Linked DNA regions of Pelodiscus sinensis. The protein of the gene in region 2 interacts with the protein of the main gene of each other region in a pairwise test. Links are inferred from orthologs where the notes say so. Each region holds a gene or a part of one and is shown on either strand. Other genes may lie near its edges.

What was found. The genes of interacting proteins can lie anywhere in the genome.
Region 1: the proteins of SGTA (region 2) and F11R interact in binary tests that used the Homo sapiens proteins (3 or more experiments, as listed by UniProt). The two-hybrid records come from large-scale screens. The link is inferred for Pelodiscus sinensis from reciprocal best matches to the Homo sapiens genes SGTA and F11R.

Annotation. Positions count from the first base shown.
Region 1 is NC_134734.1:14,059,425-14,067,365, reverse strand, and holds the start of F11R (junctional adhesion molecule A), read right to left. Parts: upstream 3,036-7,941; 5' UTR 3,022-3,035; coding exon 2,907-3,021; intron 1-2,906. UniProt on the Homo sapiens protein: Seems to play a role in epithelial tight junction formation. Appears early in primordial forms of cell junctions and recruits PARD3.
Region 2 is NC_134729.1:17,550,537-17,557,706, reverse strand, and holds the start of SGTA (small glutamine-rich tetratricopeptide repeat-containing protein alpha), read right to left. Parts: upstream 3,330-7,170; 5' UTR 3,173-3,329; intron 1-3,172. Other genes in the region: THOP1 (thimet oligopeptidase), read left to right, coding at 4,806-5,034, 6,592-6,740. UniProt on the Homo sapiens protein: Co-chaperone that binds misfolded and hydrophobic patches-containing client proteins in the cytosol. Mediates their targeting to the endoplasmic reticulum but also regulates their sorting to the proteasome when targeting fails.

The DNA.
Region 1 (7,941 bases), on a different chromosome or scaffold from region 2:
AAATAGATGTAAACTGAACACAATGGAACTTATGGATGTAGAGCAAATTGACCCTTGAGGGCATGCTGACCTCTGATGGTCATTGCTAGACAGACAAGCTAAAAAAATACAGAATACTTTTCCCTTTGTTACAAGATTTATACATGGATTCCTGAGCTTCACAACACTCGGGTGGTAGAATTGTTACGCTCACCCCTAGTTTATAGACACCACAGAGAGATTAGTTATTTTCGTGATCTGGGGGAAAATATGTGGCAGAACCATGCATTATCATGAGCATTGGACATTTTCAGCCAAGATCAGGGCTGTGAGAGGTTCTCCCATCATTATAGGTGAACTCCCACACTTTCCTTATTAGAAAAGGAAGAATGTGTCCACATCCTTACTATAATGGGGGCTCCAGAACTGGCTGTAACACTCCAGATGTGGCCTCACCAGAGCCGAATAAAGGGGAACAATCACTTCCCTAGATCTACTGGCAATATTCTTCCTAATGCACCCTAATATGCCGTAAGCCTTCTTGGCTATAAGGGCCCACTGTTGTTGACTCATATCCAGCTTCTTATACACAGCATGGAGCCACTGTGTTCTGTTTTATGCCCTTAGTCCATGTGCTTGGACAATGCAAATCCAGGCATATCTGGTGGGCACAGCTGAGTCCCCAGGCAAGGTTGAGCATTTGGCCTGCTGCAGCCTCATTTTATGTCTGGTATTTTCTCAATTTGTTTCCTGGACAGAACCCTCAAATACTGGACTGTCCTGTTCAAAACCAGACTCTTGGCAACCAGGGCCGGCCCCCGGGTGCAGGGCACATGCGCAGGCCCACCCGTGAGGTGTGAGCCCGTCCCCGTCCCCCAGCATGCACGGGCCCGCCCCCGGGGCGCACGGCGCATGTGCTGCCGAGCCCGGCCCAGCCAGTGCTGCTAGCGCACGTGCCGGGCCATGCATGGCCCCGCAGCTGTAGAGGCAAGGGCACTGCTGTCCGGCGCTGCGGGGCCGGCGCTGCAGGAGCCGGGCGCGCGGCTCCTGATGGCAGCTGCAAGGGACACCGCGCGCCCCTTACAGCTGCCATCAGGTGCCCCCCCCCGTGGGTTGGCACCCTGGGCAGCTGCCCGGCTCGCCCATGGCTCTGTCTGGCCCGGTTGGCAACCCTACCTGGTGCTCTGGTGAGCAGCATAACTGGAGCCTGCCTTGGGGCTCTGGAAAGCCAGCATGTGCCATGACTGCAGCCTGCCCTGACCCCAGAGCTTTGGTGGGCAGTGTGGCCCCAGCTTCCCCTGGCCCTGGAGCGCCAGAGTGGAGAGCCAGAACTGGAAGGTGCAGCACCAGCCTCCCTGGGCCGGGCATGCTGGCCAGATCCCTGACCAGGAAACAACTCCCCTCCTCGCAGCTGATCCACCAGCCCCAGCACTGGGAAGACAGGCAGCATGGCCCCAAGCCTCTGGTACCCAACAGCAGGCTTGCTTGCCAGCCTTTAGAATCATAGGAGCCTAGGGCTGGAAGAGACCTCTGGAAATCATGAGTCCAGCCCCCAGCCCAAAGCAGGACCAACCCCATTGTGCACCCTTTGCATCGCTTCCCTTTGCTTTCTCTCCAGACTGCCCCTGCCTTGGAAGCACGCAGACCGAAATGCCAGGCTCCAGGTGCAGCCACCTCCAGAGTGGTGGACGAGGTGCCTCCCTCCTCCCTCCTCTGCACACACAGCCTGAAGTCACACTGGTCTCTTACTCTCCTACCCTGCGGTAAAGCCAGGTCTGATTTGATACGCCGGAGCTCAGTGTGGGAGCCAAATGTTCCTAACCCTAAAGCATAGCCTGGCAGAGTAGCCTTCAGTTCTGTGCAAGCAAAGCAAGAGACCGCCTGAAGACACTTCCTTCTGCACTCAATGGGGGGGGGGGCCTGGGAGTGACAAGGTGTTCGAAATCTCTGAGTGAGAGGCTATTTGGCAACACTCCAGAATTCTACAACTTCCTGTATCTGCGCTAGAGGAAGTTCACCGCACCGGTCACCCATGAACCACCTGAGCCTCGCTTCAGCTTGAGGCTTTGGAGGGAGGTGGAAAACCCTTGCAACTTGAAAAGGGGCTGAAATAAAAAACCATGTAAAGGTTTCTGAGGCCTGAATATTCCCCTGTCTCGGTGCCCTCCCCCAATGCCCTCAACATCTGCTTCCGAGCTGCACGGCCGAAGAACAGCAGCCAAGCTAAGCCAGAGCTGGGGGCGAATGTGCCCGCAACAAAGGGGAAAAAGTATCCTGTACAGAGAAGCTACTTGTCACACAGGCTGACAAGAGCTTTCCAGCCCAGCTGTCTGTGTGGTTCAGGCAAATAGCGTGGAATAATGTATCAGTCCGAAATGCTGTCACACCTTCTGTGAATGCCTTCCTATACAAAGTTAACCAGGCAGCTGGGGGTGTGGCAGAAAGGGACACCGTAAAAGCTAATCTGCTCTATACAGTCACATGGGCTCCACCGAAACATTGCATACGCTTCCTCCTCTGCAACACGGCTCCTTTGTATTAAGGGTTTTTTCTTGCCTTCGGGGCTCAGATCCTGCTCAAGGAGAATGGAGGAGTAAATGTTCTGCATAGCGCCAAACTAGCACAGAGAAGCAGGCCAGGTAACTCTAACAAACAGAAAGCTAACTGTTTTACAAGGCATTTCAGCTGCTCAGTATGTGTGTTGCTGCAGGAACAGTGTCTGCTACAGCGTCTGCTACAGCGTCTCCCCAGGGACTGGGCATTAGCAGCCGTCTTAAATTTTATTTGTGTCGCTTGAAAAGGAGCTGAAATAAAAAACCATGTTAAGGTCGAGAAAGAGAAGAAGCCTCTGTGAAAATTAAGAAACTGATCAAAAAAGAGAATGTGATGGGGTGCAGTCACAGACAACCCGCCGGGGGTGCTCCTACCTTGTGGTCCTGTGAGAATAATTGTAGGGTTCACCCTGGAGTATTCAGCTGTCAGGAGAAACAGGTAGCTGGTCCATGGGACAGAAAGATAGGCAGCGTGCGAGTTCAGACCCATCTCCAAGGAACAGCTCAGCAGCATACTTCTGCAAGGATAACGCAGAAGTTAAATATGGCAAGTGGGCGGGCTTATGCATCTCTCTAGCCAATCGGAAGAGTTTAGTTTGTTCACTAGCTTGCAGCCTCAAACTGTTACTTCAACTGAGGAAAAGGGTTTTAAGAGCAGGCCCCCAGAATCGTAAGATTGTCTTAAAAACTGGGAGCTTCAGAATAGAACACAGGGGTGATTTTTCTCTTGGCTGTCTAGCAGGAGCGGCCTGAAGCCGGCTGCAGCAGCTGGCGCCTCAGGCGGAATGCACGATTGGTGCCCCCGCCTGCAGGGCCGTCAATGGACTGACATCATCGGCGGGCACCCCTGTGATGTCATCATCGGGTGCCCTGGGCGACGGCGCCCTACGTGGCGGCCAAGTCCGCCAATAGCCACGGGCTGCTCCTGCTGTCTAGCCTCAGGACAGGGGTAAAAGGATCCCAGAATCACGCAGCTTCTAAGCTACTGACTGTGCATGGGCTTAGAGCTAGGCATAGCTGCAGAGGCACAGTTATCTTGCATGGCTGTTTGGAAGGGGAAACTGAGGCACCCTGCCTCACAGCAATGGTGACTAAATACAAAGACGTGCATATGGATAGGCGGTGCTATCTACATTCTGGGGGGGGGGGCACTGCTATACCCCCACGTGTTTTGGATCATCGGGGGAGATCACTGGGTTACATGAAATAATTTGTTCAAAGCACCTTTGAGTTATGTATATTCATGTCCATTAGTCCATTTCGTAAAGCATGGAGCGGTGTCTGTCACACCTTCCCCCTGAAATCGCTGTCAGAGGGTTGGACAGTGTCCAATGCGAAGGCAGTGTATCCAGAAGTCCACCGGGGCTTTGGCTGCTCAGCCATCTAGTGCCACCAAATCTTGTGCTGTCATTCCTTGCAGTTCTTCCAAAGTTGTAGGTTCCTGTCTCCCGACTTGGATTTATGGAGGGGGGCACAACAGGACTTGGGAGCGAGTTTGCTGGCTGCTTTTGGGAATAGTGCAGGGCCAGGGCAGGGGTGAGCCTGCCTTAGCCCCACTGCACTGCCACCCAAAAGCCCCCTGAGGTAAAGAGTGCCCAGCTAGTGCCCACCTCCTGAAACCCTACCCCAGTCATGAACCCCCTCCTGTACCCCAAATCCCTGCCCTAGCCCTGAGCACTCCTGCATCCAAACACCCTCCCAGAGACTGCACCTAGAACTCCCTCCGGCATCCCAACTGCCTGCCCCAAGTTCAGCTCTGAGCCTCTCTCATTCTATATCCCTTAATCCAGGGGCTCTCAAAATGTGGGTCCCAAGTCCCCAGGGGTTCACGAGCAACTTAAGGGGGGTTGTGGCATCACAAAATTTGAGAACTTCTGCCTTAAACCAAGACCAGAGTCTGCACCCCGACCTTCTGCCCCTACCTGGTAAAAGTGAGGGAAGGTCGGGGAGGGAGGGAGGATGGCGTGAGCAGGGGCGCAGGGCCGCAGAGAAGGGGCATGAAGGAGGCAGGGCAAGGGTATTTATATTTGAGGTAGATCTTGGATTGCACTTAAATTCAAAAAGTGATCTCGTGCTTAAAAAGGTTGGAGACCCCTGCATTAGACTATCCTGCCTCTCCCGAGACAGACCATTGCTGACTTTTGTGACTTACTGTGAGCCTTGCAGCAGTGGGAATGAAAAGCCCTATGCACAGAAGTTAGGGGAATACACCAAAATTTCAGCTTTCATTTACAAAATAGCACGTTTCTATTCCTTGTGGTTGCAGAGAAAGAGGCTATAAACAGGAGCCCCAAAGGCTAGACAGCCAAGAGAAAAATCGTCCTTGTATTCTATTCTGAAGATCAATTTTTAAAGACAATCTTACGATTTTGGAGGCCTGCTCTTAAATCTCTTTTCCCCAGTTGGGGTAACAGTTTGAGGCTGGAAGCCAGTGAATAAACTAAACTCTTCCGATTGGCTAGAGAGATGCATAGGCCCACCCACTTGACATATTTAAGTGCTGTGCTATCCTTGCAGAGCTATGCTGCTGAGCTGTGCCTTGGAAATGGGTCTGAACTTGCACTCTGCCTAGCTTTCTGTCCTATGGACCAACTACCTGTTTCTCCTGACAGCTGGGTACTCCGGGGTAAGCCCTAGAATTATTCTCACCCATGACAGTGTCGCAACAAGCAGGGTAAGTGTGCACATCTGGTTGCTTGTAGTGATTTTAAGTGGGTTCTAAGTGTGGTTATTGGAAGGCAGACAAAGTGGTTGCTGGTTTGTTATTTTTTGTTTGCTCATTTTGGGCAAGGGAAATAGAGTGAGATGCAGAAGGAATGGGAACTGTACAGAATCCGGGAAGCAGCCAGGGAGGTGGAACACAAGACACTGGTGGAGTTAAAGCAGCATGAGATAGAAGCCATAAAAGCCCAAGCTGCCCATGAGGAAGCTCTAAAACTAATACGACTTGGAATGGACGGAGAAGGAAGAGCTCACAGAGTACTTTGCACCATTGATTCAGGGTGCTGACTGCTGTAATGTGGCTGTGTCCATTCCAGGGATTGTTAGCTGGGGGTAAGGAATCTGTTGCTGAAATCCCAGAGGGAGAGATAAATGCCACAGGGGCTGGGGAGGGGGCAAGAGAGAGTCTCTTTGATTCTCCTCCAGCTGAGCTGGACAATTTGCGGGGAGGGGTGAAGGAAGCCTGCACTAACCCTGAGTCATTGCCCAGTGTCAGTGGGTCTGCCCAGGCTGTGGTATGCCCAGGAAGGGCATGGGAACAGCAGGATGCAGGTCCAACCCCAGGTGACAGAGGTGTATGTCTTGGAGCAGAGCATTCACACAGAGCCTGGAGACCAAACGGCTGCTGAGGAATCCAGGGGCCTGGCTCCTGAGAGTTTACCCCATGAGGAAATGGAAGACTGCAGGGCTTCCCAAGGAAGGGTCTGTCATGGCTGGGAGCTGTGTGCCTGCAGCTGGACAGGTGGCAGATGGTCTGGATGAGGGAGGACAAGATGGGTCCTCCATCTTTGATGGGGGGCTGTTACCTGCATACATTTCTCTATCCCTTCCACACTGTAGGGACACACCCCTGTTGTACCAATAAAAGCAAGCAGGATCTTATGGGGGGAGGGATAAGGCAAAAAGCCACATTTATTGTAAAGATGATAATAATAATATATATAACATTCATTCAGGTTATAGTTACCAGCCTGGAAGTTGCTTGTGACAGAATACTGGCCAGGTATTCTGTACACAAGTGATGGGAGTGGGGAGTGAAGTCCTGATCAGAAGTGCATCTGAAGCTCCTGGTGGGCTGGCAGCAGAATTTTGGACTCTGACTCCATAGTCTTTTAGTCCAGTTCTTATAGGAATTTCTTCCTATGCCAGTCCATGGGAATTGCTGCATCATGCTGATGTCCAGGGTGGCTGTCAGGTGCTTGTCAGTGATCTCATAGGGTGGACCTCCAGTACTTGGTTTTCTCCACTTGACACCTTTTGGTTGCACTGGCACCTGATGCCTTCTTCAGCCCTTTGTTGCTGCATTCTCAGGCTGGCACCTCTCAAAACCATTCATTCATCCTCCAAGCACACTCTCTCTTACATACATTCCCTAATTAATGTTTCACATACAGTATTTTGTATAATAATAATTTTACATATGCAAGAGTTGTAGTTACAAAAAGTCACAAAAGCTTCTGGGTGGCATTTCTTAAAACATTCTCTCTGAGTGCTGAGTTAGTTACTGTTATAGTTACAACAATGTTTCACTTTTGCGATTAGGGTTAATTGCTTCACAATGCTTCGAAGAGAACAGGCGTCAATTGTGTAACAATGCCCTTAGTCAATTACAGGGCTTGGCTCCCAGAGCAGTTAGTGGCTTGACAATGCATTGTTACAATGTATCCCTGCAATGTCAATTTCAAGCAGCCCCTTGCAAAAGCTTGAGCATGCCCTGGGACACAGAGGGGAGCTGTTTCTCGCTACATAGTAATAAATCTAAACATTTAACAATCTTAACAAATAATAATAATAAATCTAAACACTCATCAAGCCTGATAACGCTAAATCTAAACACTTTAACAAGAATAAATCTAAACACTTATATGCTTCTACTTAACAAACTTATGCTACTTAGACTTTAAGTTGTGGGGAACAAATTATGGGGAGTCACTTCCACTTGGGGGAATCATTTTTAATACTTTAATATGTTATCCCTATACTCCCACCCTTCCCCAATTCCTAGGGCTCAGGGTGTAACTTCCCATGGGTTGGCAGGATCTTTAGCCAATGAAAGAGCATCACACACTAATATTCTTATCCTCTATTTATTGACAAATCTCAAACAAGCAGAAAACACATGCTAAGCAATCCTGGTACAGGCAGACTTCCTCCAGGCAAGGTCAGTCTCTCTGCATCTTAGCTGCTGCATGTTACAGTCGTGCAGCAGAAGCCTGGCAGCTCTGTTCTTAGGCTGTGTCTTGGAGGGGAGTAGTTCTTCCAGGTCTTCCCCTTTCTTCTTGGTGTTTCTTGTTTCCCTTTGGTCTTCTTCCAACCTCTTGCTTCTTTCCTCCTGCTTCTATTACTTTTTGGACCTCAGTTAATATAATTAAACCAGAGTCCTGCTTAGTTATTCCATAACCAATTTTTTAGTATAATTTTACTAGCCAATCATACCCCACCACCTTAATTGACTTACACTTAGCAAAATTAATTATACAGAAGACAGAAATAATTACAAACCAGACAGAGATCACATAGGGTATGTCTACACTAGCCCCCTAGTTCGAACTAGGGAGGCTAATGAGGGCAACCAAAATTGCTAATGAAGCGTGGGATTTAAATATCCTGCACTTGATTAGCATAGTCCCGTCCGGTCGCCATTTTGGAAACTGAGTAGCCTGAAGTAACTGCCCACGTCTACACGCGG
Region 2 (7,170 bases):
GGGAGGGAAACCAGCTTTTAAGCTGGCTCCCCACAACACCGACTCCTGCTCCCCTCAGTTGCTGCCTCTCTCTGATAGAGGCAGCAAGTGGGGGAAGCAACTAGTCACATCACTAATCAACTATCCAATAACCATAAGCTTGTCGATTAGTTGCTTACATCCCTACTCTGAGCTCCCTTCTGCACCCAACCTCCACCCCAGACTTACTCCATAGAAAAGTGCGGCCCTTGACCACTTACCAAAATCATGGCGTGCCCCTCCCCTATCAAAAATTATTGCCCACCTGTGGCCTAGGCAGAAGACACTTGACAATCTAGCCCGACCCCTGCTCGGTACACATACGACCATTTCAGAGATGGGAAACTGCGCGCAAGAGGCAGAATCCTTTGCCCAACATTAATATCAGAGCTGGAAATAATTCAGGAAGACCGCACTGGGAGTCATGTGCCAGTCCACTATCACACTTCCCACCATGCCCTGGATATCGCTGGCTCTTATACTTCTCGACCCGGTTAACAATAAAAGACTTAGTTCAGCGTTAGAAGAAGTTCTGCACAGATGATCAGGCAGTTAGCGTGGGAGCAGAGAAAGATTCAATTTAACTTTGCAGAGTCTAAATTTAAATAAGATGCCAGAAAAAAACAACAGTCACCTGCAAAAGTAACCCTGCTAAGCACCAAGCAGAGCAGAGTGGGACAAGTTGATCTCCAAAGTGGGAAGAAAATAGGTGAAAGTTTCATGTCAAACTCATGACTTGGGGTCACACCCGTCAATGACAACTAACACCAGGAACGGTTAACGTAACATTTAACCAACTAAGCAGGATCCTGGGTGGGGGAAATCGCTCTAGCCCAGCTAAAGCAGCCTCCAGCCTGCAGGGCTCCTGCTCCCAGTCCCTGCCACCCCACCCCCGTTGGGGCCAGGTGGGGCTGGAGCAGCCCTTCTCCCATGGGCTGCTCCCTGGGAACTGGTTCACCAGTTACCTGTTCACATCCCTACCAGCAACCAAAGTCCCCTATCCACTAAAGACAGACAAAGCATGTGCAGCAACAGGACAGGTTTCCCCATGTGCTTTCCCTCCCCCCGGCAATGAACGTTAACCCTTACCTATTTTAAGTAGAAATCCACCTATAATTGAATAACTTAATCAATCAGTAAGATACTTATACCCATTGGCAAGTCTACTTGCTCCTCAGCACAGAGGAAGTCTGCTCAGCCTCGCACTGAATGGAATTAAATGATAGCACATCCAGAGACATTAAATAAATCAGCTTTGTTAACTAAAGCAGAGGTTCTCAGACTTCACTGCATGGCAACAATAAGTACTACATGATCTCAGGAGTGGGGAACCCAAATTTAAGCCCACCTTAATGGACAAAGCTTTCTGGGTAACAGTTATCTGTTGCCTGGGAGCAGGCCAGGGCCTGTCACAGGTGAAGGGCTGGCTGCCGGCTCCCAGCCCACGGGGGCCAGCATGGGGTGGAAGCAACCAGCCTGACACAGCCCCTACCCATGGGCCGCTCCAGCCCGCCCACCCCCATTTAATCAGTTAACAGTTAAGCTTAACATTTAACTGGTTAACGAATTAAAAAGGATTTTGCATCCTTACACTAAACTTCAGGAAAGTTTCAAATCCTACTTCTGCTTTTTCATACAGAATAGCCCCCCCTGCTTTTACTGAACTATGAGAACATATAATGCTATCACCAGTGCCCAGAAACTCCCGCAGGATATACTTTTTTTCCCAGAGACCCTCTCTACACTATAGGCTTCTGCCAGCATAGCCATGTTAGACAGAGGTGTGATCCTTGACTAACCAGTGTCCTGGAAGAAGCCCTTAAGGCAGATACTTGAAGTAACTGCATGCTTACCGGTTTTGTCCGAGTGTGAGTGGAATAAGCTAGACCAGTATAAACTGCATCACACTGGCAGCACATTGCTGGTATAGTATACCGGTATCCATACACCAGTAAGGCACTCTTAGCTTAGACATGGCTAAAACAGGTGTGGGGAACCTGTTTCGGGTCAGAGGCTGCTGATGCACAGAAAAATCAGTTGAGGGCCACACACAAGTGAAAAGCAAAGAAAAAAACAAAAAACAAAAATTGATTGAGGAGAAAGACATTCCCCACATTCCTCTCCCACACTAGAGTTTAGGGGGGCCTGGCTAGCAGATTTTGTGTGCTCCAGTCCTGTAGGGCAATGGCGGGGGAGCTGCAGTGCCAGCATGAGTTCCCCAATGTTGGGGGGAGCCCTGAGGGTTGGATCCAAACAAGCTGGAGGCTGCCTCCGGCCCCCAGGCACGAGATTCCCCACCCCAGCTGAAAAGCTCACTCATCATTTTTGACAGGAGACGAAAAACCCATCAGACCTTCCACCGTCACTTTTGCTTTCAAGTTAACAGACCCAGCTGCCAGCTGCTATTTAAACCCCAAATAAAGCAAAGTCCAGGCCAGCAGCCACCTTCCTGAAAGAGCTTTTATTGGAAACAGTCACCCCAAGCCAGTTTCAACAATCAGCATAGCCCCTGCTTGCCCCCCAGCCCCCAAACCCCGCCCCCCCAGCCCCCAAACCCCGCCCCCCAGCCAGCCCCCAACCCCCCCCAGCCCCCAAACCCCGCCCCCCAGCCAGCCCCCAACCCCCCCCAGCCCCCAAACCCCGCCCCCCAGCCAGCCCCCAACCCCAGCCAGCCCCCAAACCCCGCCCCCCAGCCAGCCCCCAAACCCCGCCCCCCAGCCAGCCCCCAAACCCCGCCCCCAACCCCCCCAGCCCCCAAACCCCGCCCCCCAGCCAGCCCCCAACCCCCCCCAGCCCCCAAACCCCGCCCCCCCAGCCAGCCCCCAACCCCCCGCCAGCCCCCAAACCCCGCTCCCCCCAGCCAGCCCCCAACGCCCCCAACCCCCCCAGCCCCCAGCCAGCCCCCCCAGCCAGCCCCCAACCCCCAAATCCCGCCCCCCCAGCCAGCCCCCAACCCCCCGCCAGCCCCCAAACCCCCCTCCCCCCAGCCAGCCCCCAACCCCCCGCCAGCCCCCAAACCCCCCTCCCCCCAGCCAGCCCCCAACCCCCCTCCCCCCAGCCAGGCCCCCAGCCCCCCGGGCCAGGGCCCAGCCAAGCGCCCCAGAGACAAGGGGGGGGCGGAGACTGAGCCCCCCCGCGGGCCCCGGCTACTCACCAGGCGCCTCCGAGCTGCGTTCAGCCCCTTCACCGCCAGGCGCACGCTGCGCACGCGCGCTAGCCCCTCCCCCTTACTGCGCAGGCGCCAAGGCTTCGGCGGCGCCGCCCTCCATCCCCACACTTCCGCCGCTCGCAGCGACTCACGCGCCCAGCAGCGGGTCCGCCCATGCCAGCCAGCGAGCATGCGCAACAGGCCTCCCCTTCCGCCCCCGCCAGACGGAAGCGGAAATACGCCATGGGGGCGGGTGAACCAATGCATTGTGGGATCGCTCAGGCAGGGCCCCTCTTCCCCGCGATTGACCATAGAGACGTAGCGCGGGAGGGGGCGCTAAGGCAGCTCCCCCCGCCCCCGGCTGGCCCCGCGCAGTCCTCCACCCTCCCAGAATCCTTCGCGCTGCCTCCTTCTCTCCTCCCCGCCGCCCCCCCCGGCCCGCGTGCTCGGGGCTGAGCGTCAGTGGCTGCGGCGCCTCCTCCCGCCCCCCCATGGCGCCCCCCACAGGTACCGCCCGGCTGGCGCGTGTGGGGCGGGGAGGGGATATTTGGGGGTGGCAGTGGGGGTGGGGTGATGGGGGGAGGGGATATTTTGGGGGTGGGGGTGGGGTGATGGGGGGAGGGGATATTTGGGGTGGCAGTGGGGGTGGGGTGATGGGGGGAGGGGATATTTTGGGGGTGGCAGTGGGGGGGAGGGGATATTTTGGGGGTGGGGGTGGGGTGATGGGGGGAGGGGATATTTTGGGGGTGGCAGTGGGGGGGAGGGGATATTTTGGGGGTGGGGGTGGGGTGATGGGGGGAGGGGATATTTAGGGGATGGCAATGGAGGGCTGAAGGGGTACTGGGGGAGGGTATATTTAGGGGGTGGCAGTGGGGGCGGGGTGATGGGGCAGTGAGTGGATAGGGAGGTGGGATATCTAGGAAGGGGGCAAAGTCTAGAGTGGGGAGTAGGGCGGGGGCATGGGAAGACGATGTGGAGTTGGGGGGCAGTGTGGGATGGAGGAGGAGGGAGGGGTGGGGAGAGCAGGTAACTCTTACGTGTGTTGGAGACAGTGCTTGGGGAGGTGGGGCAGGATGCATGACTGGGGGAATGGGGATAGGAAGGTGGGGGCAGGGTGCATGACCCTTAAATATCCCCCTACAAGCAAGAAGAGGTTCCTCCCCAGGTTTGCAAAGCTCTGCCAAGCCGGAATGAGTCTCAGAGAGAAAGCTCACCAGCATGGAGTTACTCCCAGCACCGGGAGGGTGGCAGCTCTGCTGCTGGGTCTGCTGCAGTCACTTGTCTTCTCATTAAGCCTATGCTGAGTGTTGCCTTCCCAACATCTGCCTCCTCCTGCACCAGTTCTCTGGGTTCTTTGTGTGTTACTTCCCCCACCCCGAAACCAGTGTTGCAAGGTTCTGCCACACATCTCTGCCAGCCCTTCTGCAATAGCAAACCTGATCTAGGGCAAGCTAATTAAGGAATCAAGTTTTACCCAGGAGTTGCCATACATAGGAGGCATAAAGTGTTGCAACTGTTCTTTTTACTCTTTGGTTCAAACAGATCAGGTTCTCTTCTGAGCTCTGCGGTATTTGCCGTACCTGTCTCTTGAGTCCCTGTGAGTTAGTTCTCCACCCTCTTCTAGGGCAATATCTGAGAGATGGATCTCTTTCCAACCTATTCAGGTAACGTTGTGGACAGCCAGTCCCACAGACTCCCAGTGAATCGGCTAAGATGGGACCTGACAGCAGAGCAAATAGAAAACATGACCGTGGAGCTCCTAGAGAAGACCAAGCAAGTATACGACCACGTGGGCTCCCAGGAGCAGGGGGAGGTCTCCTATGAAAATACTCTCAAAATTCTAGCTGATGTGGAAGTGGAGTATACAGGTATGTGGACAAACAGGATTTGGCTGTTTCTGGAACCCTTCTAGCTTTTGTTAGTCGCTGAGTGGTTTTTAGATCGTGTGCGTCTCTGGTCAACTGAATCATTGGCTTTTCCTTGTGTAACTCCATTAGCCTGTCTTACCTGGAGGAAATGTAGGGTTTCTACACAAGCGTGTAACTTGGAGAAATAGGATGAAATTGGATGGGCAGGGATCCAACTGCTGTGCTCAGTGCCTCTGGGCAAGATGGCTGGCAGGAAGCCCCCGGAGGGGCAGGACCTCACACGGAGGGGGCAGAGCTGGGGGCGGCCAGCCCTCCATGCTGCCTGGACCACAGTGCTCCTCCCCCCCCCCCCATTTCCCCAGCACTGCCTGGATTCTGTGGTGCCCCGACCTCCCAGGCAGCCCTGAGAGCTGCCTAGAGCACAGTACTCCAAACGGTGATTTAAGGGGCTCCAGGCAGCAATTTAAAGGGCTCCTTTGAATCACTAGATCCCAAAGCATCTGCCTCCTTTGTTTCCCACCACCCCCAGTCTGTGGATGGGGAAACAAAGAATGTCGGGAAAAATTGGCCCATTGGTGACTTCGGCAATGGGATGGTTTCCAAGCTGGAAGCCCCGCTAGTTGTGATTTTAAAAAACAACATTTAAGACGTTGAAGTTGCCAATTGCTTCAGTATCTGGACAAAAGGCTAGGCGATGTGCTGTAGGGATCAGCCATGTGTTGGCAGAGAGATGACTGGGTGACGAGCAATATTCCCTCTAATCTTTTCCGGCCACGTGTGCATTTTTTTCCAGCCATGTGCGGAATACATTTTTATGCACGCTGGGGCGTGTGCGAATGTGTACCCCCCATAGAAACACAAACCTAGCTGTGGGCAACCTGCTAATGAGCTGGGCAAGATTTGAACCTCTCCCCAGCTTGCACACTGATGACCAGTCTGGGCTTTTCCAGCTGTAACTTCTATGATCGGGTGTGGGAGGAGCAGGCATGTGTGTGTCTGGTTCCTTTTCCTGTGCAAACAATTTATTTCTCTTTACGACTCCAGCTAAAATGCTCTGAAAAAGTAACACCATGTTTGTAAAGGAAGCTGGCCCAGAGGGTAACACCTGTTTTCTGTGGTGCATAAATCCTACAACAGTATCTTTTCCTCAGTCTGATCACTAGGAGTGTGTCTAGACTACAGGGTTTTGTCGACAAAAGTGGACTTTTGTCAACAAAACTATAGAGGGAACATTGGTCTCAGGCCATTTTGTAAGGGACAGGTGTTATCAATGGTATTGCTAAATAGAGCTGTAGGGTTGTGAGATCCTATCCGGAGCAGCAAGAACTTGCAGTGTAGAGTTGACCGGCAGATCTGACTCCAGGACCTGTGGATGATGGAGCTCAGTGCTAGAGAGGGTTGTTTCAGGTTGGGTGTGGGGCATGTCGGTGGGAGTGGCTTGCCTTGCCCCCGCCGATTGGGTGCATGTCAGGCTCCGGGTTGTGAAACTGCCGCCTACTTCCTTCCCTAACCTGGCGGCTCCAGCTATAGTCTGAGCTCCTGGCTTTGTCGTTGCAGTTCAGAGGAACATGCTGGACTTCCCCCAGCACGTCTCCCCTCACAAAGATATCCGCACGGCGAGCACGGAGGCGGACAAAAAGCTCTCGGAGTTCGATGTGGAGATGAGCATGAGGCAGGACGTGTACCAGAGGATCGTCTGGCTCCAGGTTCGGCTGGGGAGGGGTAACCGGCGTGGCTCAGTGCTGAGAAGATGGCAGGTCCAGCATCCCAACAGGGAGTGTCTGCGGGCCTCCCTGTAATTTCCATGAGTGCCTCTCCCTACCACCTTTCCTGTTCAGTTGAGAGCTAAATTACAACACGAAGGCAATGTTGTCTAGTAGTTAGAGCAAGGGACTGGGGATTCGGGGCTTCTGGGATGCAGTCTCACCTCTGGCTCGCTGTGTGACCATGAGCACATCCTGTCCTTGTGTGCCTCAGTTTCCTTCTGGGATCCAATCTCAGACCAGCTGTGTGACTGTGAGCCAGTCCTGTCCCTTTGTGCCTCAGTTTCCCCCTCTGTAAAAGGAGGCTGGTGACATTGCCCTACATCCCATAGAGGCCCGACATCGGCTAGCAATTTGGGATGGGCTTTGAGAC